Linked DNA regions of Drosophila melanogaster. The protein of the gene in region 2 interacts with the protein of the main gene of each other region in a pairwise test. Each region holds a gene or a part of one and is shown on either strand. Other genes may lie near its edges.

Region 1 (12,943 bases), on a different chromosome or scaffold from region 2:
GTTTTATTCCCACTATCGTTTTCTTGGCCAAACAAGTCTGTTAGCTGTTTGCCGTGCATATACTCGTATGTATTTCTCACCCATTAATTATGGGTAGTTTAGACTATTGCAATATTGTAGCAGTTTTGCTGAAGAGGAGCAAATATCAAAGCAAATATCAACATACATCATGATACATTCGTTGGTTTCCCAGCATTGTTAAAATTCCCACTTATTGTCTAGCAATTCCACACACGACACAGTTAAATCTAGATAAATTATTAAATTATAGTATGCAGTACATAATATTAAATAAATCAATTGGAAAATGTGCAAGTATTGCAGGTGCTGAATTATTATATTAATTAATTGAGTGACGAGGTATTTATATGTCGCTTTTTTTTTTTGGTTCATCAACTTGTTATGCATTCCACATGTACACCTAGCATGCTGAAGAAAGGGAGGCGCGGCATTAGGGGCGGATCAGATAAATTAGGTCCATTCAGATCACATAATATAAGAGAAAAGTTGCTTATTTGCCAATTTTGCAATGTTCTCGCGAGAAATGGCTAATAATAATAAGAGGCGATGCCGGGGAATCGTTTCGATTTCTAACCAAAATTAAATAAAAATCATTAATGACTTTCTTCACTTTTGCAATTTTCACATAGGTGGCGATGGTGGAGGTGCAACTGGATCACGATACGAATGTACCACCGGGCATGCTGATAGCCTTCGCCATCTGCACCACCCTCCTGGTGGCGGTGCACATGCTGGCCCTGATGATCAGCACCTGTATCCTGCCAAATATTGAGACGGTGTGTAATTTGCATAGTATTTCCCTGGTCCACGAATCGCCACACGAGCGTCTCCATTGGTACATTGAAACGGCGTGGGCATTCTCCACGCTGCTGGGACTCATACTCTTTCTACTGGAGATAGCCATCCTGTGCTGGGTGAAATTCTATGACCTAAGTCCGCCGGCGGCTTGGTCAGCGTGTGTGGTCCTCATACCGGTGATGATCATCTTTATGGCCTTCGCCATTCACTTCTATCGCTCCCTGGTGTCGCACAAATATGAGGTGACAGTCTCGGGCATCCGTGAGCTGGAGATGCTCAAGGAGCAGATGGAGCAGGATCATTTGGAGCATCACAATAACATACGAAATAATGGCATGAACTATGGCGCATCCGGGGACATTGTCTAGCATCACTTGGCGTATCCGCACAAGTGGATCGAACGAAAAAGACAGCGGCTCAGGGTAAGCTTCAGATTATTTTTAGTGAAACACACATATTGTAAATTTGTAGTTGATTAAAATTGTGATACGCGGAATTCAGTAGATTTCTACTATATATATATATATATGTGCGAGTGCTGCTGTAGTCCTTTATTTTACTTATGGCAATTGCGGATTAGCACGGATATTGACAATGATAAAAGACCCCAATTAAAGCAATACTTCGGATGAATATTCCTCAAAAAATTAGCTGATATTTGTTACATATTTATATTGCGTGTATTTTAAATTGTATGCCATGCCGGATTTTCTTTTTTTGCAACCATCCTTAGGCAGTCTTCCCTTTTTACGTTTAAGACACAACTTGATTGTCAAATTTAATATTAAGCCAATTGTGTAAGCGAAACCGCGCTGTAATTTATACCATATAATTTATGATTAAAAGAATTTTCTATATATATGGTGTTGGAGTTTTATTTTTAATCGTGATATATAGCTGAACAATAGATGCGGATTAAAAGAATGCAAAATTTTAGAGACAATTTGATATATTTTATATGCAACATAAAACAATTGTAAAATAAAGTATTTGAAAATGTACTGCAATATTTATATACGAATTATATTCATAGGTATTCCAATAGTTTTGGAAAATATAACAGTCTATTTTCGATCTTTACCGATGTAAGCTAAATAGCGCTGTAATTTATATACGACTGATTAAACGATTTTTACTACATACACTTAACCGGAACAAACGATTTTCTATTGAGCCAATGTCTTTGGCCTCCTTAAGTTAGCGTGTCGCTGCTGGAGGAAGCCAAATGGTGGCAAGACATGCTGCTGCTGGCTGGGGGGGTTCGATTAGACAAGTGACACCACCGCACGCACACCGCCGCCTAAAGTCGGACGACACCACATGGCACCGCCGCAATTGGACGGACTTGCTCCCGCGCTCAGTCATCGAAGACATGTCGTCGCGTACGAGCGGATATAGTAGTGGAGTTCGCTCTCAACGTTATCCTGGTGGGCAGTACCAGGGCAAATGGTTGGGCCAGCAGCCTCACGGGTTTGGGGTAAAGCAAACGAGCAGTGGACTTGTCTACGAGGGTCACTGGCAGAAGGGTCAACGGCATGGCATCGGAAGTTTGCGTCGCAAGGAGCTCGATGGCCGCATGGAACGCATCTACGTGGGTCAGTGGCGGGAGAACAAGCGGAGTGGCGAGGGCAAGCAGTTCTATCCGGACGGATCCGTCTACTTTGGTCAGTGGCTAGCGGACCAGCGAAGTGGAGAGGGCATCCTATGGCAGGCGGATGGCGGCATCTATGTGGGCGAGTGGCTTCGGGACAAGATGCACGAAAAGGGTTTACTTTTCACGGGTGAGTGTGATAAAGAAATAAGATATGTTCCTTTGGATGTATTTGTTTCATTTTATTTATTTTTTCGCAACTTTAAAAATGCATAAAGATTATAGATAATAAGTTAATATGTTATCCATAGCAACGGGAAATCGCTACGTGGGTCAATTTGAAGGAGGCTGCAAATCGGGCTCAGGTGTATTTTACCATGCCAGCAATGGACAGCGGATTCAGCACGGTTTTTGGAGCAAGGACATCTGTAGAACGTCACTACTGTCCCTGCCACAAGATAAAAACAATGAATTTATGTCAAAAGCTCTTTTGTAACACTTACACACAATATATATATATATTTAAATACCAAGACATTTTCGATAAGAATAAATACGAACTAAGGAGACTACTATCTAATCAGTGCCGATGCCGTGTGCGTGTGCTAATGGACTCCGTTTCGGGAGCCTGTGCTTCCAAAACCTGGCGCCTCGTTCGCTTGGATGAAAGAGTCGCTGTCTTTGGTGTCTCTACTGGTTGGCGCAGCCTGGCTCTGGTGCTCCGTGTACTTGTAGTTATTGTCGGCGTTTCTACTATTTCCAAGCTATTATCCAATGTTAGGACTTTACAAGCTTTGGATGTGGCCTTGGGTTTTGCCTTCTCCCTACTTTTTGGTTGTGTCTTCTTTGTGGACACCAAAGGTGAATCGTCATCGTCGCTTATCTCGATCGCTTGGCAGGCATTTAGATCCACGTGATCCGAAGGCGGTGTATTCTCTGTTCCGCTGCCACCGCTGCTACTGCAACTGGTAGCACTTGGTGGTCGTAGTTCCAGCTCCTCGTAAATTCTGAATCGAGGTGCCTTTTTGGCCGACTGTTTAACTTTAGACGCCGTATTCTTGACTGCTGAAACCGATCCTATTGCGGTTCGTTTCTTATCTTCGGGTGAGTGATTGAATACCAAAGCACGTCGAAGGATTTTGACCTGTGGCTTATCCTGACCCACGGGTTTGAGTTCTAACTGAGCCGTCTTTAGCTGAGCCAAAAAATTGTACTCGAAGTTAATGTCGACCGCGCGTGATCGCATTTTAAGGCCCAATTGAGCCGTTGATATAGCCTCTACATGCTTTCGCGCAAAGCGAAGATAGTTCAGATGATACAGCTGCTGGGCATGCAACATGGGATACAAAGCGCTACTCATCGGAGGTTTTTCCTGCATCCAACTATGCGCTCTTCCATAGAATTCGTCCAATTGTTCGCTGTTTCTCTGCAGAAAGCGGAGACGTGCATGTAGACAGCCCGTTACAAAGTACAAGCATTGCAGCTGGGAATTCTCTCGAAGATTCGCTGGCGCCACATCGAGTGTTATGTAGCGATCCAAGTCCAGTTGGGGATTTGGGCTATGTGGTCGCATTTTGAGCAGATTCGGCGAGGCCATATTTAATAGCTGCTGCTTTCTGATCGGCTCCACCAACTGGAGGAGATGCATATTACTAGCCAGATCTCTAATTGCTACATCCTTAATCGCTTCCTTTTCCGGCCTACTCGTTGGATTCAGCTGTTTTATACCTAAACAATGCTCGATGAGTCTCAACTTCGATTGCGCCTTGTCGAAACTTTCCATTTGCAAATTGGTCCATAACCATGCAAGGAATACCTCTATGGCTCTTAAAGCCAAGCCAGATTGGAGTACCAAATGTAGTGCAATGTTGGAGAAGGACAGTCTTTCGCTTAATCTGTTCGCAGAGCACTCGGTGCTTTCCCTGACAAGAGTCGAAAGAAGCAGCTGCAATGAGCCGCCATCTAAACTGGATAGATTGCAAAAACTTCGCACATTGTCCAGAAGAATGTCCAATTGACGCAGAGGAGTCGGCAGCCTGCAATTCGTTGGCTTCCTTTGCTGATACCCAATTCGAAAGCGCACCGTTTGCAGTGTAAGCAATACAATATCACTTTTTCCTTGTCTCTCAGGAAACTCTTCGCGAAGTTGTTCCACATGCAATAGAAGCAACTGGGCATGACTATAGCATTCCATTCTGGCATAGTAACTGGCGAGGTGACAAAAACAGAGCATTACCGTAGTTTGCTGACGCTTGAAGAATTTGCCATTTTTCAATTGAGGCCACAAATCATCCAGCAATTCCTCTGCTACTTCCACTTCCTCGCCGAGTTTCAGATTTAAACGAGAACTAACCTCATTCTGTGACAGAAAATGATTTAGGGCACGCAGATAGGTAAAACGATCTTCCAGCAAGCGACCCATCCTCAGAAGCAACAGCCAGGCATCATCCTCTTCTGACTGATACCCCATACTTGAAAGTGCATTGGCAGTAGCGATGGCATCGTCAATCAATGCCTCCCAATCAATAGACGTTTCATTTGCGCTCAATGGCTCTTGATCTGCTCGATCGAAGAAGTTGCTGAAGGCCGAGATGGCTTCACTAGCATAGTTGACCAATCGCTGCTCCCTTTGTATGTTCATCTGCCATAAATTCTTGCTGAGTAGCAGCTCCTCGAACATATTTTCCGTTATCTCCTTGGTGGAAACTTTGGTTTTTTGAGCCTCCAGTGCGTCCAGTAGTAGTCCCACACTTGCGTGGCCCAGGCACAAGTTATCCATTCGACTGAGCGAACGTTGTTGCCTTAGCTTATCATGAACCTCTATGCATTTCTTCGAAATCGAGTCATCCTTTCGCATTTGTCTGGCCAAGAGTACCAGATGATAGTCACTCGTTCGGCAACGAATAAGTGATTCCATATGAGCCGTAGAAGGACTCCTCAAATAGTGTAGTAAGGCAAAGAAATCGGTATCATACAGCTGTTTCTTCTGGTCCGGAGTGAGAGGGAAAGGTAGTGGCGTGGACTCGTGCCACTCGTAGACACACCTTTTGATCTCGGTGCCCTTTTTTCCCAGATTGTGATAGTACAAACAGACCTGTGATCTTAATCGTGCCGGATTCGTAATCGAGGCCAAGTAACTGGCTTGAATTCGACATGCTATATTGGAATCGCCGCAATGGGAGCTGGCCTTAAAGAGGCGTCGGAGTAAACTGCTCATATCCTGGTCGGCAACCAAAGGTCGCAGCTTCTGCAGTGGCTCCAAAAGTGGCAGCAGCACGGACATTTGCTCCGGACAGGTGACCTGATCAGCCACGTATGTCAGCTGGCGCACTAGCTTAATGATCTCCACACTGGTGGGACCCAAACACTTCATGGTCTTAGCTACATCCATTGAGTATTTGACTACTCCCAGTAAGGGCTTGTGAGGGCTCTGCAATAGTATTGAAATGTAGCATTAAAATTCCACAAAATTAGATAAAAATACCCACCACATTTGTTTTCTGCTCCGCCGCCGGTTTCCAATTAATATACGCATCTAATGCGCACAATCCATACGCCAATATGCAGTGCCGTCGCACGCTCTTGCATGCCTCGTGGGAGCAAGTGCAGCCCAAAGGACTCCTCGTAATATTAACCGCCAAGCTAGCACACGTCTGAAGCAACTGAAAGTGCGCTGTGTAGATATCGGGGCTGCTCTCTCCGTCAAACTGCTGCCAAAATATCTGAAAAGGACTCTGCAACTTACTGTTACTTTGATGGATGAGCACCTGTAGCAATTGAATGGCCACCAGAAAATCCGCTAGCCACTGTTCTTTGGCATGCGAGGCTACTTTGTGCTCGAAGAAGTGCTGAAACTTGCTAGACAAGTCAATGTAGGTGCGCTTAAAGTCGCCTGTGGGTTCCCGAACAAAGATTAACTTGATATAGTAGTACATCAGCTGTAGAGCATAGCACAGGTTTGATTCCTGGCGAAATAGTTCCTTGCTCATGCGCAGCAGCTGCAATGACATCTGTTGATTGGACTGTGGACTGAACATGTCGATTTGTACGAGAGCCAACGTGAGACTCAGGCACTCAGGGAATAAGTTGGCCAGGTTCGAACTGGTGCTGCTGGCCAGGAGCATAAGCAGCGCGTTGAACATTTTGGCAAGACTCTCCGACGGCAGGAAGCTTAGGGACTTGAAGAATGATCTACTTCTTTTGCCAAATAAACTCTCGTTTAGTTGAACTAGAAGCGTTGCGCATAGACTTATTTGCCTTTGCGTCATGGCTGCGAATAGATCTCCCAATGATTCCAAAGCATAACACAATTGACTTGTAGCTTCCAAGGGGAGTTTTTGCTTCTGCAGCAGCACATGGAAACCATTGAAGTGGGTCAAATGTATGTCCAGATATATTTTGTAGTCTGATTCTTCTTGCAGACGGCAGGGTTGTTGTCGGATGAGGTTGTACAGCTTCTGACAGGCTTCAATGGATCGCTGTGAACGGGAGAATTGGTTAGAAAGATTCGAAGATTCTTATAGCGACTCCTACCTGATGAAACAAGCCATGATGTATGTACCGCAGGCTGGACAAGTGCGCTTCCCATAAGCTTGGCTTCTCCTCGCAGGGAACTACGCGTGGCAGCATTATGCCCATGATGTCGCAGTAAAGATCCGAGTTCTGGTGCAGATTATCCTTTAAGGCGAGGCAAATATGGCGCAATACATTCACTTCGTATCTCAGAGGTAGTCCATCGCCAGACAACTCCCGGAATTTGGCTTCCACCGTTTTGCGGACTTTTTCCACATCGGAGCGGCTGCCCTTCAGCTGGGTGGCTATATCAGTAGACATTTTTTCAAAGGGAATTGGCACATTTAACTAGTTTAACTGCGACGCTTCCTTTTTTGTTGCTTTGCGCCAGATTTTGAGATCCAGTGTGACCGTCCATGCTAAAGCTGGAAATCCTTTAACGATAACATCGATATCTCTAGTTTTCATATCAGAACACAAATACTACAAATTCTTGTGGAAAATACTAAACTTCCATGCTCATTTCCGATAACGATACAATTTGTTGCTTTATTGATATCGAGATTTAAATAAAAAAAAATACGCTCATATGCGTAAGCTCTTCTCTTTAATAGAAATCATTTTCCCATTTTCCCCCGTAAAAGACAATTTTAAAATGATGTAGTTTATGTATTTCAGTTTCAATGGGCTGGTAAAGACACATCTCATCTCGTTAAATTAACGCGGGGCCTGCTTTAATAATAATCGGTTAATTACTTGTGTATTAAATGAAAAGTCTTGTCTAAAATTGTTTTGTGTATAAGATTTACTCGCCACATTTAATGAAAACACTACTGCCAATGAATAAGTGGAAACATTTCGGTATGTGGTAAAAGTACACTTAAAAGTATATAAAGGTAAACAATTCGGGTTGCTCAAAAGTGAGTGCTCTACGTTTACAGAATGACGCGGAGATAAAGTTTGTGTATCTGGGAGGTGGGTGATGGGTAACAATGTAAGTGTGTTTAAATCGCCTTGAGCAGAAAGTGGGCGAAGTAGGATGCTTAACTTATGCGTATTTAAAGAAGGAATGACTTAAGAGTTAGTTAAAAGTTCTTAGCAGTAAATTGTGTGATCGTTTTCACGCGAAACGTTGACAAATCCGCAGTTGTTCAAATAACGCCGGAAAGCTATTGTTTGATTTTCGTGACTGATTGAAATTTGAAAACAAGATGCTGCTGGATGGCTAAAAATTGTACACGTTGTAATTGTGTAATCTTTAACATAGTGATTTGGATTTCATGTTGCGAATCCTGAAGATGGCGAAGGTGTTTAAAATGAAACTGGAACTTGGGCTCGGATGAGGCTATACTAATGCGACTTGCTTAATTGGTTGTTTGCTTGGTTTCCTTTGCATTCCTCCTCGATTTTTCTCGCTTAAACATGTATTTTTTTCTTGTTTAGCTTTGTTTGATTATTACGTTCATTATGCTCCTCTTTGTTTGGGTTGTTTGTTGTTTTTTCTTTTTGTCGATTTCTTCTTTCATTAGCTTACATTTTAGAGAAACAAATTGTGGGTTTCCTAAAGGATTTATCATCTTTTTCTATCAAAATATGATGTGTGTGTGTGTTTTTGTTTTGTGTGTGGGTGTATATTTAAATTTATAACGTACAAAGACGCTATACCGACAGATCAGGGTTTTAACCATCATGCTTTCTCTTCTTGCCTCTGACTTGCGACTCGTCTGGAAAGAAAAAAAGGAAAATATATGGCATTAAGAACTAATGCTGTCTGGGATATAAATAATTGAACTTACCTGCTTCCTTTTCGCCATCCTTGTCCTTGGCATTCACTGATGCAGCCGATTCGTTTGCATCACCATCGGCATCATCAATATCGGAATCCTCTTCCTCGTCCTCCTCGCCAGCCTCGTCTTCGCCTTCCCAATCAGAGTTATCCTCTTCCAAATCGTCATTGTACACCTCCGACAGGGACACTTCACCATTCGCCTCTTCGTCGCTATCATCGCTGTCGTCATCTTCGTCGGAAACTGAAAAATCAAAGGTAAATTTGATTAAACCAACTTGCTTGTTTGTACATCTCGAACTTCCCTAAATCGATTTTTTAATGTGTTCAACGGAATTGAGATCAACAAACCTACGAACTACTATAACGCTTCTTGTGGGTAAGAGAATCTTTACTTTTTCTGCAGCATTTTCGAGTTAGAGAAGTTCGACTAATACTGAAGAAAAGTTCAGAAACGTTATGCTTACAATATGTAGCACTGCCCAAATTTAAAATGGCAAGGAACCAATACAGCAGGATTACAAAACTTAAGTTAGAATTGCTAGGAGGCTGCGGTGTGGCATTTATCACAGATTGTTCATCGGTTGAAGCATCAGTAGATTCCCTTAGCTGCAACTCTTTCAAGTATTCATCTAATTCGTCTACTTCTTTGTCCTCCGATTGGGGAGGTGGTTTGTCCTGCAAACTTTTTTTCGCCTTAACCCGCTTCTCGAAAGCCTCGAGCTCGTCTAAATCGATCTCTAAACCATTTAAACAGAATGCATTGCACTTATCTGAAAGGCGACAAAAGCCACGGTTGAGTATATGATATTATTGTTAATACGAAGAAAGCGCGATTCACAATAAGCGATTAAGTTAAACAGACGGACAATGGAATTTTAATGGTGGTTACATGGAAATCTTTTATAAAAAAAAAACTCCTGAATTCTGCGATTTAATCTTTGGTCTCTATAAATACGTCGAATACACACCTCCCACTTCGTCGGAATCGTTGCCGTTGACCTCATCATCATCATCGCCATCAGATTGCACCTCCTCGTCGTTGCAATCAAATCTGGAAGTGGTCAAGAAGTTACTTTTATTGTTCTACAATAGAAAGAAGTTACTCAAACTCACCCATCTAGGAAATTTAACGATGGCAACATCTTGAAGATCTTCTCGCGGTAATTATCCACTTGAGTAGCGTCGTTATTAAACAAATCCAGAACAACCAGATTTTTAAACTCCTCCAGGGGCTTCAGGGTTTCCAGATCCTTTATCTTGTTGCCAGACAAGTTGAGATATTGCAGTTTGGGGCTAGTGGTCAGATAGTTGAGGCCACTCGAAATCCGATTGTCGGACAGTTCGAGCTTCTTTAAATTGGGCAGCTTGGGGAAACCTTTCAGTGTGGTGAGACCCACGTTGATCAAGCTAAGCGATTCCAAGGCTGTGTATTCATCTGTAAGGCCAACGATGCTTGTACTACGGCAGTTGTCCAGATTCAGCTCTGTGATCTAGGTTATAATAGGGTTGAGAGTAAATACATAAATTAGAAGTAGTTCATTTTATTTATATGAAACGAGTTTTGAATAATTTTTAAACCAATTATTACTTATCGATATTAGTTATTGAAGACAAGAACAAACGATACCGATTATTTTGGTATATTTGATGTATTCATTGTGGAATATTCAAGCCTCGCAGTCTGGTCACATTTGTAACATTTTTTGACGCAAAGCGAACAGAAAAAAAAAATGGAGAACAATACATACGCAAAAATCGATCAAACGCTGAGAAATTTTTTTTTGTTGAAATGCAAAACGAAATTACATGCAAAATAACCAATTTGGCGTTAATGCAAATGACTTGGTAAACATTGCTGCTGCTCCATCGCCAAATTGCATATTTTTGTAATGCAGGCGACGAGGAAAAAGTGCCAACTCGCGTTTATGTAACCCCAATATATGTGTGTGTGCCACAAGCGTGTGTATGTGTGCGTGTGCTTCGACACAAAGCAGAATGCGCAAAGAGAAGAATGACGAGCAAAACGGAATTATCAAGAAGTGGAAGGGAGATGGCAGGGGAACAACAAGACTAGCCGGCACTCGCAGCAACAAAACAACAACAACATGGTTGACCGTGACGTAGTTTAGTTGTTGCGCCTGTCTGCGAATAGTGGGTGGGGGTGAGAGTGGGTGGTGTTTTGTGGTCTGATAATCTACAAATGAATAAATGTACACAACGTACGCCTTTTGGAGGCTGTGCAAGTTCACTTCAGATTACCCAATTATCAATATGTCACGACGCCACAACAAAACCAACAACAAAGAAACAAAATGGGTGCCTTCAGAGTCCGTCTGTCCGTCTCTGTCTAGCCGAGAAACAGTTATGTGCTTACAGCGGACACTTTCTAACCTGAATTATGGTTCAAATTTATTTTATTTCTAAGTGGCAAGAATCTTGGTATATCCTAAAAGAAAATTAACTGTAGCTCAACACAATTTTTAATAATTATCAACAAAATTGAATATGAAAATATAAAATTGTAAATAAAAACTGACTGCAAAACCTAATCTGTATTCGGTTTGATATACTTTGTAATATAAATAACTTATTGTTTGATGAACTTCAAAATCATGTTTTTGGTAATGGAATCAATTTAACTATGTTAAGAATCTTTTTATGGATATGGTGTAGTTTAAACAAAAAATTTAACTCTTGGAAAGGAAACAAAGTGGCACTTCCCCAAAGGTATAATTTATAAAAATTGGAAATGAAAAAAATGTTCGTATGAAATTCACGGCTAAGAATTCGGTTGTGCTCGATCTATTGATCGATCTAGTAAGCACCAAAGTGGGGAATGCAAATGATCTAAAATATAGCTAACAGTAGAGAGTGTCTACTGTATTTGAGCAAATGAGTGGAAATGAATGCACACAGCGTTTGGCTTTGACTTAGGCGCGAATGAGTGTGTATACGTTGCTATTTTTTGTCTTCTGCTGACTTCGCTGTTGTGGGGTGCATTTTGGGCGGGCAGTGGGTGGCTGGGCGGTTGGGTGACCGCTGATTGAGATTGAGTAGGCTGGCCGGCCAGCCAGAGCGCATGTTTATTAATCAGCGGCTTTGTCTTTTCGCCTGCATTTCTTTGCCACTTCGAGTGGGCGGGAGCGGGATGGCTAGAGGCGATGGCGTGCAGGTAAACACGTTAGAAGAAGAAAAGAAGAAGGGGAGCATAAAAGTATTATGACTGCGCAGTCAATATATGTATGTACATATGTATGGATGGATGTACTGATATGTATGCTATGTGTCGATTATTTTGTGCATAAGTCGTCTTACGTATGCATGTGTATCTTTTGTGCGTGGTACGCGTGTGTTTGTGCGGATGATGCGCGCGCTATAATATTGTTATAGATACAATTTGGTATCAAATAACCTGAAATTACAACATGCAGTCAAACACACGTACACACAAACACATGTTGCCCGTGTTTGTCACAATTGAAGGCCGGCAATAACCACAACAACAACTACGACGAGAACAGCAGCAGCAAGAACAACAAGCGAGGAGCATTGCCAGCTGTGGAGATAATACAATTCCAAGTGCTCTAGCTCGTCTGGCCCGAAAAGATCGCTTTCCATCAGCCATGCAGTAAAATCACTCAGGGACTTGCAATTAAATACGTAATAGCTTGTAAACGAATTCAAAACCTGCATTCTAAAGGAGCAAACAGCAGGCAAGGCGCAAAAATGCGCGCACATGGCAACACTGGCGTCACATGCATACAAACACGCACGCACACAGAGGCATGTGTGTAGAATTTGCTTATGGCGATCAATTTCTTTTCTTTTTTTCGTTTTTCTTGTTGATGCCGCTTTGCTGCTTCTTCCGTAGCACTTTTTGTATGTCGTCTATGAACAAATTGAAACTAGATTTACATGATAATGCACACACACACGAAAGCGTCACTTAATTTGGACCTCAATTTAAGTTTGTGGCGCGTGTTTTTTTTCATCGTTTGTATTTAGCTTACCTGATTTACTTTGCGTGCGCGTCTTTCCAGTTCTATTCTCTTCTCCATTGCAGCGGCACTTGTTTGTTTTGGATGTTCTTTTTGGTTACGCTTTTTTCCTTAGCGGATTCCTTGTATTTTTGTGTGTTTTTCTTCCTTTGGGCTCCACACGAGAAACAGCGCACGCACTGAAGGCAAAAGACTCGCACTCGCCAACACACACACGCACACAGAGCAACACAC
Region 2 (10,797 bases):
CCAAAAGGATAATCATGTAATGGTGGTGGTTTGAGTAAAGAATGAAAGATTTTCATTCAATTAGGTTTCTTATCAGACGCAAAAGAATTTCCAAGATCTTAAAAGTCCATTCACGTTCTCGCTGGAAATGAGTAAGAAAATGCTTGAGCAGCACAACGACCTAGAAATGCCAGCGCAACCCCCGAAAATGAAAATTTTAATTCCAGATAAGCCAGAGCACAGGCATGAGAATGCATTCCGAGTATCTGGGCATCTGGGCAATACTACGAGTACACTCAAGTACTAGGGCCCACTTCGACAAATATATAGATAAGCTGGCAGCGAAATGGGAGCGAGCGAAGTGAAAACAATTTATGAATGAATGAATGAATGAATGAATGAGCCAGCCCAAATGGATATGGGCTGGTGCGAGTGTGTGAGTGAGATGAGCCCCTGCTTAGATAATGGAATGAATCCACTCCGCCGCGCCGCTCGTTCAGTTATTTCCGAATATTTCTTATAATAACAACGAAACCTGTTTTCTGCCCTCAATGGGCGTTGAGTTGGGATGGGGACGTGGAGGGCTAGAGAAGAACCTAACCCAAGTTGAACTTGCCTCGCGGCAAATGGGGCAAGGACACGATGAATGTTGTTCAGCTGCCTATTTGCCGCTTGGTCATTTGAATAACAAAACCTTGAACAGAGGGATTCCCAGACAGGATATCGAATTGGGCACCGAACTCAAGTTTCATTTTCTATTCCCTCCAGCGAATCCGGCAAATCTTGCGAGTCCCACCGAGGAATGCGGTTGTGTGCGACTGGGCAAATGCAAATGGTTCAACGTGGCCAAGGGATGGGGCTTCCTTACACCCAACGACGGCGGCCAGGAGGTGTTCGTCCATCAGGTGGGTACTCTCTTTCTTGGATGAAACTGAGGTCTTTCCTTAATGCAAGGCCTTATGTACTATCCGATAGAATATGGAAAATCGGTATAATAATTTAATATTTAATGCATTAATTCAATATAATTCTCATTATAAACGTATGCATATAGAGCGTCATCCAGATGTCAGGTTTCCGATCACTGGGCGAGCAGGAGGAGGTGGAATTCGAGTGCCAGCGCACGTCGCGCGGATTGGAGGCCACCAGGGTGTCCAGCAGGCATGGCGGTAGCTGCCAAGGCAGCACCTACAGGCCGCGAATGTGAGCTCATACCCAATCGTTTAACTAATTTTCCCCATTTTCACCACCTACCCACCAACCACCCAACAGAAATCGCCGGACTCGCCGCATGCGCTGCTACAACTGCGGCGAATTCGCCAATCACATTGCCTCCGAATGCGCTTTGGGTCCTCAGCCGAAGCGCTGTCATCGCTGCCGTGGAGAAGACCATCTCCATGCCGACTGCCCGCACAAGAATGTGGTAAGTGCTCCTCTACGATTCCACAGCCCCATTTCGAGGACTAAGCCCACATCGTTTCGCAGACCCAAAGCCACAGTAATAGCAAAAGCATAAGCAACAATAGCAGCAGCAGTGCAGCCCAAGAGAAGAGCGAGGAGGCCACCTAGGAAGTCCTTGGATCTTGGACTGGTAGTTGGAAGTTAGAAACTTCCTTGACAAGTACAAAATGGAAATCTAAGAAAAAACACGCATCAAATCAAAGAAACCCACGTACAACAAAACTAGCTACTACACTTAGATATTAGCGGGAAGAGACGCGCCCCGAAAACCATCCTATCCTAAGTTTATTTTCTATTTTAACATTATTTTCTAGGAACCATAGTTGCTAAGGTTTTTCACTAGATCCCAAGTAAACGAATTAAGCTAGAGAGCATCCCTTGGTCTGTTTTTTGAAATCGGAGCTTTTGCACCCTGGGGCCGAACTAAAAGCTCTGTGCTGATAAGAAAGTCCTGGTCGCGAGTCACGTGGCCACTGACAACAATGGAGCTTTCCTTGGGGCAACAACAAACAGCTACAAATGGAATCACCATGAAAACGCAGAATCACTGTGTAAGCTTGGAAACCTGAAACCCGCCGCTCCCGGCGCTAAAGTCAGCACCCACCACCCCCTGAAAGTGAAACATAGTGAGCAGCAGCAACAACAAACGGATTGGGCGAGGACATGGCCAGGAGGAGCAGGGAAAGGGAAAGTCCTGCCTTTTTTTGGTCGCTCTCTTTTTCTCTCTCTCTTTTTCTCCAGCTGCCTCTCTGCCTCTTGGCTCTTGGCCCTTTTGGCTGTTTTTGTTGTGGTTTAGTTTGCAACATTTTGTTCGGGCTCGCTCTCTCGCGATTTTTGTCCTTCGCCAAGGAAGCAGGAGCAGGATACCCAAAAGGATGCAACTAAGGCCAGCGTCGAGCTCAGTCTCAGTTGATCTCTGCCAGAGAATTGTTGTGTGCAACGCGGCGGAATTTACATTTACACCATATTAACACAGAAAAATATGAAGACCCAAAAATAAAGGACCCTCAAGTCCAATTATCAAACTTAACCAAAAACAATAACTTAGACAACTAAAAGAATTTCAACAAAGTTAACAAAGCGTTTCAGCAACAAATTTTCAAAAACCCACAAACCCCAAAACCAAAAAAAAAACCATTAAAAAAATTAAAATTACACAAAGTAAACGGAAAAAGTTTGTACAATTTTTTTTTTTTGGCATAAAATGAAAACAGTTTTTCAACGCATAAGTTATACAAATATGGAAAGGAAAAATGCTGGCGAAAACTAAGAGTTCAAGGTTAAAAGAAAATGAGAAAATTACCTTTTTAACTGGGCAAACAATAATAAAGCATCAGCATCCACTGATAGAAAACAATAACAATAACAATAGCAACGTCAACGTCATCGCATATTCATTTGGGCCAAACCACAACCACTCGTACCCACACACAAGCACACACAAGAGCACAACAACACCAACACACCCAGAGGCACACAAACACACACACACACACACACTGGGAATTTACAACCAGATTTACATGGGGAGCGCCTGTTATGTAATATCCTCCTTCTGACGCTGTCTCCTGTCATGTTCCAAGTCCTTGTTCCTTGTTCCCTGTCCCCATTTCTCGATTTCGCGATTCTCGCGTACGTGTGAGTGTGTGTCTGTTTGCGTGTGTGTGTGTTTTGGGGGTGTGGCATGGCATGCACCTCGGATTTGCTGCCCCTACGGGTGCTAATTTGATTTAACTCGCTGCATGGGCACGGCATTGAGACACCACGACGAAGGACGAAGGACACTGGCCGCCCATCCCAGCTATTGGTAAATCATAAAAATAGGGACGCGCCAAGGTGTGTCTGCCTTTTTTTATGGCATGCAAATCGAGGCCGTAACACAAAAAAAGAAAAACACACGCATATTACGCATACGCCGCGCGCTCGGCGATTAGATGGCTGGGAAGAAAAGAAGTTATTGGGTTGGGCCTAATTAACGAATGTGTGTCATAATGCGACAGGCGTTAGTAGGTCAAGTAGATGCGATGCTGGGCGATTGGAGGTCGCCGCAGGTTCGGTGGGGGAAAAGCTCTGGCCAAAAGGGCAACCCGAGGACGAGGATGGGAACGAGGTGAGATGAGTCGCGTTTTTGGAGAGCAAACTGGGCGACAAGCCCGAGTACGAGTGCGAGTAAATAAATATATGGGCGTTTCTGGGCATTCAGGCATTATTGCACATTCGCCCCGTGGACGAGGGTTTAGCCTAATCCCCACTCGCATTTCAATTATATTGCATTTTTATAAATTCTCAATGTTTCCTTCACTCAATATCTTTCTCTCTGACTGTCGTTTGCACCACACTTTCACTTTTTTACTTTACCTCACCCACATTGCGATTTGTACTCGAATTAATGTTTTTCACTCCCTACTCTTGCACAGGCAAATGTAAGAATGAATCTGTACTCTGTATCTGGCATGATTCCAACTAAGGAAAACGAAAACTCTAACCTAAATCAATTAATCTAAATAGTTCTCAAACGGTTTAAAGTTCCAACAACACAATGTACAAAGTCTAAACATGTTTAAAACTTCTACTTAAAACTAAAAACTTAACCGAAATCAAGGACACTTCAGTTAAAGTGCTAAATCCATAAGGAAACATCACTCAATCTTCCAAATAAACTAAGAAAAGGTAAGTGCCTTGGAATTTCTTCCTAATATATAAATGTTTAGTTTATTTTTACTATTCTGAGTGTTACATTTAGCGTTTAATGCAAACTTTGAGCACCACTTTCCACTTGAATGAAGTAGTTCAATTAAATTAAATTATTGTACACAGTTCCATACGCAAAACTTTGCTTAGGGAGATCGACTCCACGACGAAATGAGCTATAAAGGCAGCTTTTCCACGGCCAAATTCCATGCGGGAAGTCCGCGGCACACGTAAATGCAGCAGTTGTAGATATTCGGCTCCACTTTTCCTTGCTGTACGAGAGATAGGATAGAGCACAGGCTGCCCAGATGGTAGTTGGGTTGATCGTTCATGGTGGGCGTGGTTTCATCTTTTCCTAAATTTAAAAGAATTCCTTAAATATGTAACTTAATAATATAAATAAGACATTACCTTTTATAATGCCATTTTTGAGCCAAGGCACCCGATCAATATGTGTCCACGGAATCACTTTGTTATCCCCCGGGGCCAACCAACGACTCAATATTGTCACCGAAACAGTATCCATATTACCATCCAAGGCGGGCATGAGAGTACCAACTATCGAAGGACACAGAGCTCCATGGTAATAATCATGGGCTCCATACAATGCGCTGTACAGGCCCGTGCCCAACATGCGTGTAGAATCGCAGCCGAATAGAAAAACAACGCTGCGTACCCGAGCCCGGCAAATTATGCGACCATTGACGTACTGCAGCCCAGAACCGTGACCTGCGTATCTAAAATTTAAGGCAAAAGTATTAGAATGCCATTGTTCGCTTGCAATCATATCTTACACAAAGCAATCCGCCTGTAGCGCCTGTTTCACCATCACCTCCTCATTGGGCACGGTTTCAAAAAGATGCTGCCACTGGGAGAGCCAGTACTCAAAAAAGCTACGCAGCCTGCGGCCGGAGTTGACCAAATCCGCATCTGGGTTTATTACACACATGCCACGTTTAATATTTGTTGTGTAGTAGCCATGCTTTATGTTTGATTTGTGATTCTGGAACAAGCGCCATAGGCAATGCAGTGATTTGACGCGGGAGAATTCCTGCACGGTGACTAGTTGTTCCCAATGGAGGTGGTCTAGACGCTACATAAATAATATAGTAGTATGTATTATAGTATAGAAATTCAGATGAACTACCTCATCGACTACCAGGATGATGGGAAATCTTCTGCTCGCCAGGGGCTGACGCTCCTCCACTTCCGCCCAGTCGCTGGCCAAACCCTTAAGCAATTCGTATGCCGACTGGATCTCATTTTCGTTGCTCGACAGCTCATAGCAGATGAGTTTGAGATCTGCGATTTCCAGTCGATTGGCATGCGAGGCCGCTTGGGAAAGTAAAACACGTTGGTGGGTACCCCATTGATTAAGCAGACAGAAATCGTCAACACGAGTATAGGTGGCTTTGATTTGTTTTTGAACAACAGTGCAGTCATATCTTTTGCCAAAGAACAGAAAGGAATATGGAGATATTATGTCCCGAAAGTCGGCAAGTAGTTTCTAGAAGAGGTAAAGTAATGCTAATAAGATACATTGATATTAATGTGTAGTACTTACTTGCTGAAAAGTGTCAAAACCATTCAGCTCCTCCCAATACTTCTGCTTAGCCTCTTTACCTTTCATGTTGAGTGGATCCACGGTTACCACTCGCCTAAATCTTTCCACCAGAGTGCTATACTCTCGAAAGAGATTTGCCGTATTTTCGTTGGAAATTTTCAGGCAAATCGGTCCCAGTTGGGAACTTCTACAGTGTCGGAGCAGAGTGAGATATATTGCTCCATCGCTGGCAATGATCTCATTGAAAACGGAGTAGGTGGTGGCGGGATTAAAGCTCTTGCAGAGCTGGAGGACACACCATTCTTGGGGCAGACTATTGCATTTCTCTGAAATGCGAGTTAGACCCTCTGTAGGATCCTGGACATCATCCAGGAAGTCTAGATACTCTGGTATTTCGTTGATTGGCTTCTTTGGCTGTTTCTCCTGCTCCATTTGCTGGAGGTACTTGATGATGTTCTGCAGAAATTTTTTGCTAAGAATAATGTTGGTAATGTTTGTTTGAGTTTTAAAAGAGTTTAGTTAGTTTATATATCACCTTTTGTAGTCCTTTTTCTCCAGTTTAGTGGCTGATTTGATCAGCTCCTCTGCGGTGGGACGCTGATTTTCCAGTTCCGCCGATTCGGTAAGGTAACGCAGATCGGTGGACTGGAACTGGGCTTTAACCTGGTAGTAAATTGAGTGCTCCACATTGCCATTGCGGTATTCCTCATCGGCGCGCAGTAAATTATATTCTGCAGAAGAAACATGAACATTAACATATTATTGCGAAGATGCAGTGGGAATTTCGAAGTTTCTGGGTCTGCTTATATAGTTACCCTTCGCCTCGGGGCCAACATCTGAACTGGTGAAACCGGCCAGCATCTCAGCCTCGTCACCGGTTTCCAGCATTTCCTATTATTTATTATTTACTTAATTGCTTATTTTCAAACTCGAGTCCGCAAATTGCTTCCTCCTCTTCGGACGATATCGATAGATGCCTTGTAGCCTTTACCAACACTGAGCTATCGATGGGCGATGTGCGATAGGAAACTAGCTCATTTTGTGGTATTTTCTAGTACTTTTTTTGAATTTCGCGGTTATTATTGTGAAAAGCATTGTACTTAATATTAGTCAAATTCGTAAGCTTTAACAAAAATGAAACTTAATTAAAAATATGAATATTAATATTTACTTTTCTGCAAGCAATTCGGGTACGCCATATTACTGTATTAATTACAGATAACTTGTAATTTTTACGATCATAGTTATGTAGTTTTAAAGTAATTAAGAATTTTATAACATCCTATGCCCAATAAACTATAATCGTACGATTTAAGGCATTATAGCTTTTAGTACACCCGTTTTTGTTGTTTTGCTGTCAGCAAAAAGCTTTCCCTCTTGTTGATGTTTGCGGCCGTTCATTCATAAAAACATGAATCGAGATGAAAAGGTGCAAGAGATTGCAGGTTGGCCGGAAAACAGATGTTAGGGTTGCCACGCCACCTAAATAAGGATGAGCAGCGGAAGCTGCGCAGCAACCACACCCTCTCAAAATGGAGCCTTAACATCAATTAAATATTTGTTCAAGTGTTTTAGTGTCTGATTAAAATATATTAGCGCTATTTTCCCATCAAATGCAGTTCATATTCATTTCCGAGGGTCAACCCTTAGCCTTTAAAGCCTTTTAGTTTTTGGCAACCCTAAACCACACCCTCTAGTTGCCCTAAAAACCTTACGCAACAACAAAAGCCAAGTACACACATATGTACATACCGTACATATAGGCGGCCAATTAATGCATATGCGAGCCGAGATACAATATTTTATTTTTTGACTTTTGGTTAACTTTTAAGCTGGCTTTTTTGTTGATTTTTAAATATGTACTTTTTCCAAGACTTTGTGACGTGCGTCTGGAGCTCTGCTGCCGCCTCTGCCGACGTCAGCTGCAAACTGCAGTTTTCTAATGACGTCTTTTGGAGGCAGCAAGAGATAACGGTATTTAACCGATGCGAGTGGGCGGCTCGAGCTTTGATGCCACGCCTATTTCTGAAATACAATTTTCAAGTATTTCTTGCTAATTAAAACGAGTTGTTAACAATATTCAAAATATGCAAAAACATTTGTTAAACCTTTAAAAACTTTGAAGTGCAAGCGGCTAGAGCGAATAATTACCGTTAGAGAAGCTGCAGCTGGTCGCTGTTTTAACTCAACGAAAGCTTCGATAAATATTGAATTGGCGCAGGGGTATAAGGACCTTTGCTCTCTTTGGTTTTGCCTCTGCCGCTACTGCGGCCGCTGCCACTGCCGACAGCGACAGCGACGCGAGCGTCAGCATCCTTTCTACTTATTAATTTTGATGTTGCTTTTCACTTTTACTTTGTCGGGAAACGTGCTGTTCAAGAACTTTTGCCTGGTGGGCCAGTGTTGGAAAAGAGAGGCTTGATCCTTTAATCGGAAATTTTTTAGCTTGATTGTCATGATGGAAAAGAAAAGACACCACCCCCTCACACCACTAAGCCAGCCCTATCACCAAGCCCCCCTTTAAATTCACTGGCCTTTATCCTTTATGTTTTTTGGCTGCATTATTAATGTCGCTAACTCGGCACGTTCGTTGTCCTTTCCGCCTAGCAAATTATAACATTAATATTACATTAACACACACGTACGCCAAATCACACACACATACACATATGCATTGGGGAGACATTAAAACTTTCGCACACAGCAGCACATGTAACGAAAGGCCAAAAACAACAAGAGCTAAGCCACCCCAAAAACAAAAAAAATACCGAGAGTATGTGTGTGTGTGTGTGGCACACATTCCAACAGTTGCAGCGATGTCGCGGTCGACTGCGCAGTCGGCGTCGCAGCATCCCTCTGCATTTGAGCGACTCAAAACGAATTTCGAAGTCGACGTCGACGGTTGTGTTTTGTCGCTTTTTCTTGCTTCCAAAAAATACTAATATAAACAAAATAAAGCTTTTAACTAGCTTCACAAAAAATAGAAAATAACTAAGTATAAAAACCAGCTGAAATAATAAGAAAAATCCTAAGAAAAGCCATTTGAAAAAGCGGAAAGAGCGTAGCATACTTTTCAGCCCCAGTGGATAAAACGCCCACGAGGCAGACGAAAATGAATTAATCAAGTAAAATTCAAGCAACAAACATTCCGCAACAAGAAAAGACATTTAAGTAAATTAAGGTGTGGTGATTTATGCAACTTTTTTGAGGCACACACGCAGCGAAAAGAGAGGGGTGAAGGGGGCGTTGAAGCCACTGCACATACCTCTAAGCTAAGCCAACACACACACACACACACACACACACACTCGCAGGGAGAGAAGCAGGAGCAGAGGCAGAAGAAGAAGCAGAGGCTGAGGGCATACAAAATAAAGGATAACGACGGAAAACCAAGAAAGAAATCGAAATTAAAATATAAGCCTGTGGGAGAAGAAAGAGGAGTGTCGGAGAGGGGGAGGGGCAGCAATTTTCGGCTGTCGCTGTAATTCGACGCTCATCTCCTGCTCTACTTTGCTCTCTTTCTACGCTCTTGCCCGCTTTCTCTTCTCGCCACCGCTTTGCTCTCCCGTTTCGTCAAGTGAAAACATTTCGTTTGGGCTTCGTCAAGTTTTGTAGGTATTTTGGCTACACGAAAATACACAGCGCCTTCATCCTTCTCGGTTTCGTGTCGAAAAACGGAATATCTCGTTATTTCCAGTCGAAAATCGAACTCAGACACACCGAAAATTCCTAAAAATAAAGTGAAAAGTGATCAGTTAATAATTAACGAAATTAGTTTCGAAAACATACGAAAAAAGCAGGCCAAAAACGAACATTTTTTCGGTGGGCCGCGAAAGGCGTTGCCAAATCAAAGGCCACAGGATAAAACAACAGATCCGTAACAAAATTTCAAATTATATCCTAATCGCAGGCACTAAAGCAAGAGGAAAATCCCTAACTACAAAAGATAAAATCAACTAAGCTATACAAAAGTTAATCATACGCACCGTTAATAAGCACCAAGTGAAAAACTGACTACAGGAAAACGCAGAGCAAAAATAAAGGACAAACAAAGGAGTAAAACTCTCTAGAGAAGCAGAAGAAAACAGCAGTATCAGCAAAGAACATTCTGCTGCATAAATAATACACTCGACATACGTATACGCCATATAGGCCAGGACATACCAGCAGGATATATCACACACACACACGCACGCACTCACACATACGGACGGGCAGGACGTGCTCCTGTTCTATTATTTAACTGCTTTCAACGTCAGCACCACGTTCAACCCGACGAAAGTCGATTGAAAGCCGCCTTCAACGGCCACAGCATCCCTCTCTCTCTCTCTCTCTCAGCAAACACAAAAAACAAAAAGGAAAACGAGAGAGCGAGTCCTTTGCTTGCGCCAGTGTGTGTGTGCGCGCGTGTGTTCGCGACAGCAGGAGCGACGTCAACGTCAATCCGCTCAATATTTATACATTGAACCGAGTCTCCAGGCCCACGAGTTTTGCGGCCCTCACAACGCAGACGCTCCTGGTCCTCCGCTGGGGCCCAAAATAAATAACATCTGACAGCTGCCCAGAGTCCTGAATTCGGAGTCCTGAAAGAGCACTCAGCGGTTAGGGGCTAACAAAAGAAGCATAGCCAAAGCGTGTGGCGATACAATTTCCCTGGGAAAACATCAACCAAACTGAACGCGATCCTAAAACGAAAACAAAACAATGGGCGCCAAGGAAAGTGTCGAGGCAGCCGCCAAAATGAACGCCGATGGTTGGGGCCATGTGGAGGTGTGTATTATTTATAAAAAGCAAAGCAAACAAACTAATATCACAGCCATAAATTCCCAAAGCACAAAACTCACAAGCAGTAGTAGTAGGGTTTTTTATGAGTAAAAGGTTTTATCTAAGTTGTCGTAGTATCTCAAACATATGGCTCTATATGGTTGAGGGGTTCTATACTTAAAAAATATGGATAATTTCTATTCTGTATCTTTTGTTGACTATCAACTTAATCTATCTATGAAGTTTGGTTTGATTTAAATTACCCAAACAAAGATCAAGAAAGATGTATATATTTTATCAAGAGTCTCTAGAGATCATCAACCCGAAACTACCAAAAG

What was found.
Region 1: the proteins of Sse (region 2) and thr interact in a two-hybrid assay, tested with the Drosophila melanogaster proteins (one study listed by BioGRID).

What each region holds. Positions count from the first base shown.
Region 1 is NT_033778.4:17,858,608-17,871,550, forward strand, and holds thr (three rows), read right to left. Parts: upstream 7,357-12,943; 5' UTR 7,244-7,356; coding exon 6,944-7,243; intron 6,889-6,943; coding exon 5,899-6,888; intron 5,841-5,898; coding exon 2,991-5,840; 3' UTR 2,907-2,990; coding exon of another isoform or gene 2,722-2,906; 3' UTR 2,666-2,721; downstream 1-2,665. Other genes in the region: orai, read left to right, coding at 651-1,187; CG14490 (uncharacterized protein), read left to right, coding at 2,192-2,600, 2,722-2,906; mapmodulin, read right to left, coding at 8,603-8,646, 8,719-8,952, 9,176-9,481, 9,680-9,762, 9,825-10,201, 12,722-12,769. UniProt on the Drosophila melanogaster protein: Required specifically for chromosome disjunction during all mitoses; maternally provided protein is sufficient until mitosis 14 then zygotic protein is required.
Region 2 is NT_037436.4:5,655,572-5,666,368, forward strand, and holds Sse (separase), read right to left. Parts: upstream 6,677-10,797; 5' UTR 6,584-6,676; coding exon 6,511-6,583; intron 6,427-6,510; coding exon 6,231-6,426; intron 6,168-6,230; coding exon 5,696-6,167; intron 5,639-5,695; coding exon 5,279-5,638; intron 5,225-5,278; coding exon 4,926-5,224; intron 4,869-4,925; coding exon 4,543-4,868; intron 4,487-4,542; coding exon 4,308-4,486; 3' UTR 4,129-4,307; downstream 1-4,128. Other genes in the region: lin-28, read left to right, coding at 748-884, 1,034-1,182, 1,252-1,402, 1,465-1,548; CG46320 (uncharacterized protein), read left to right, coding at 10,400-10,465.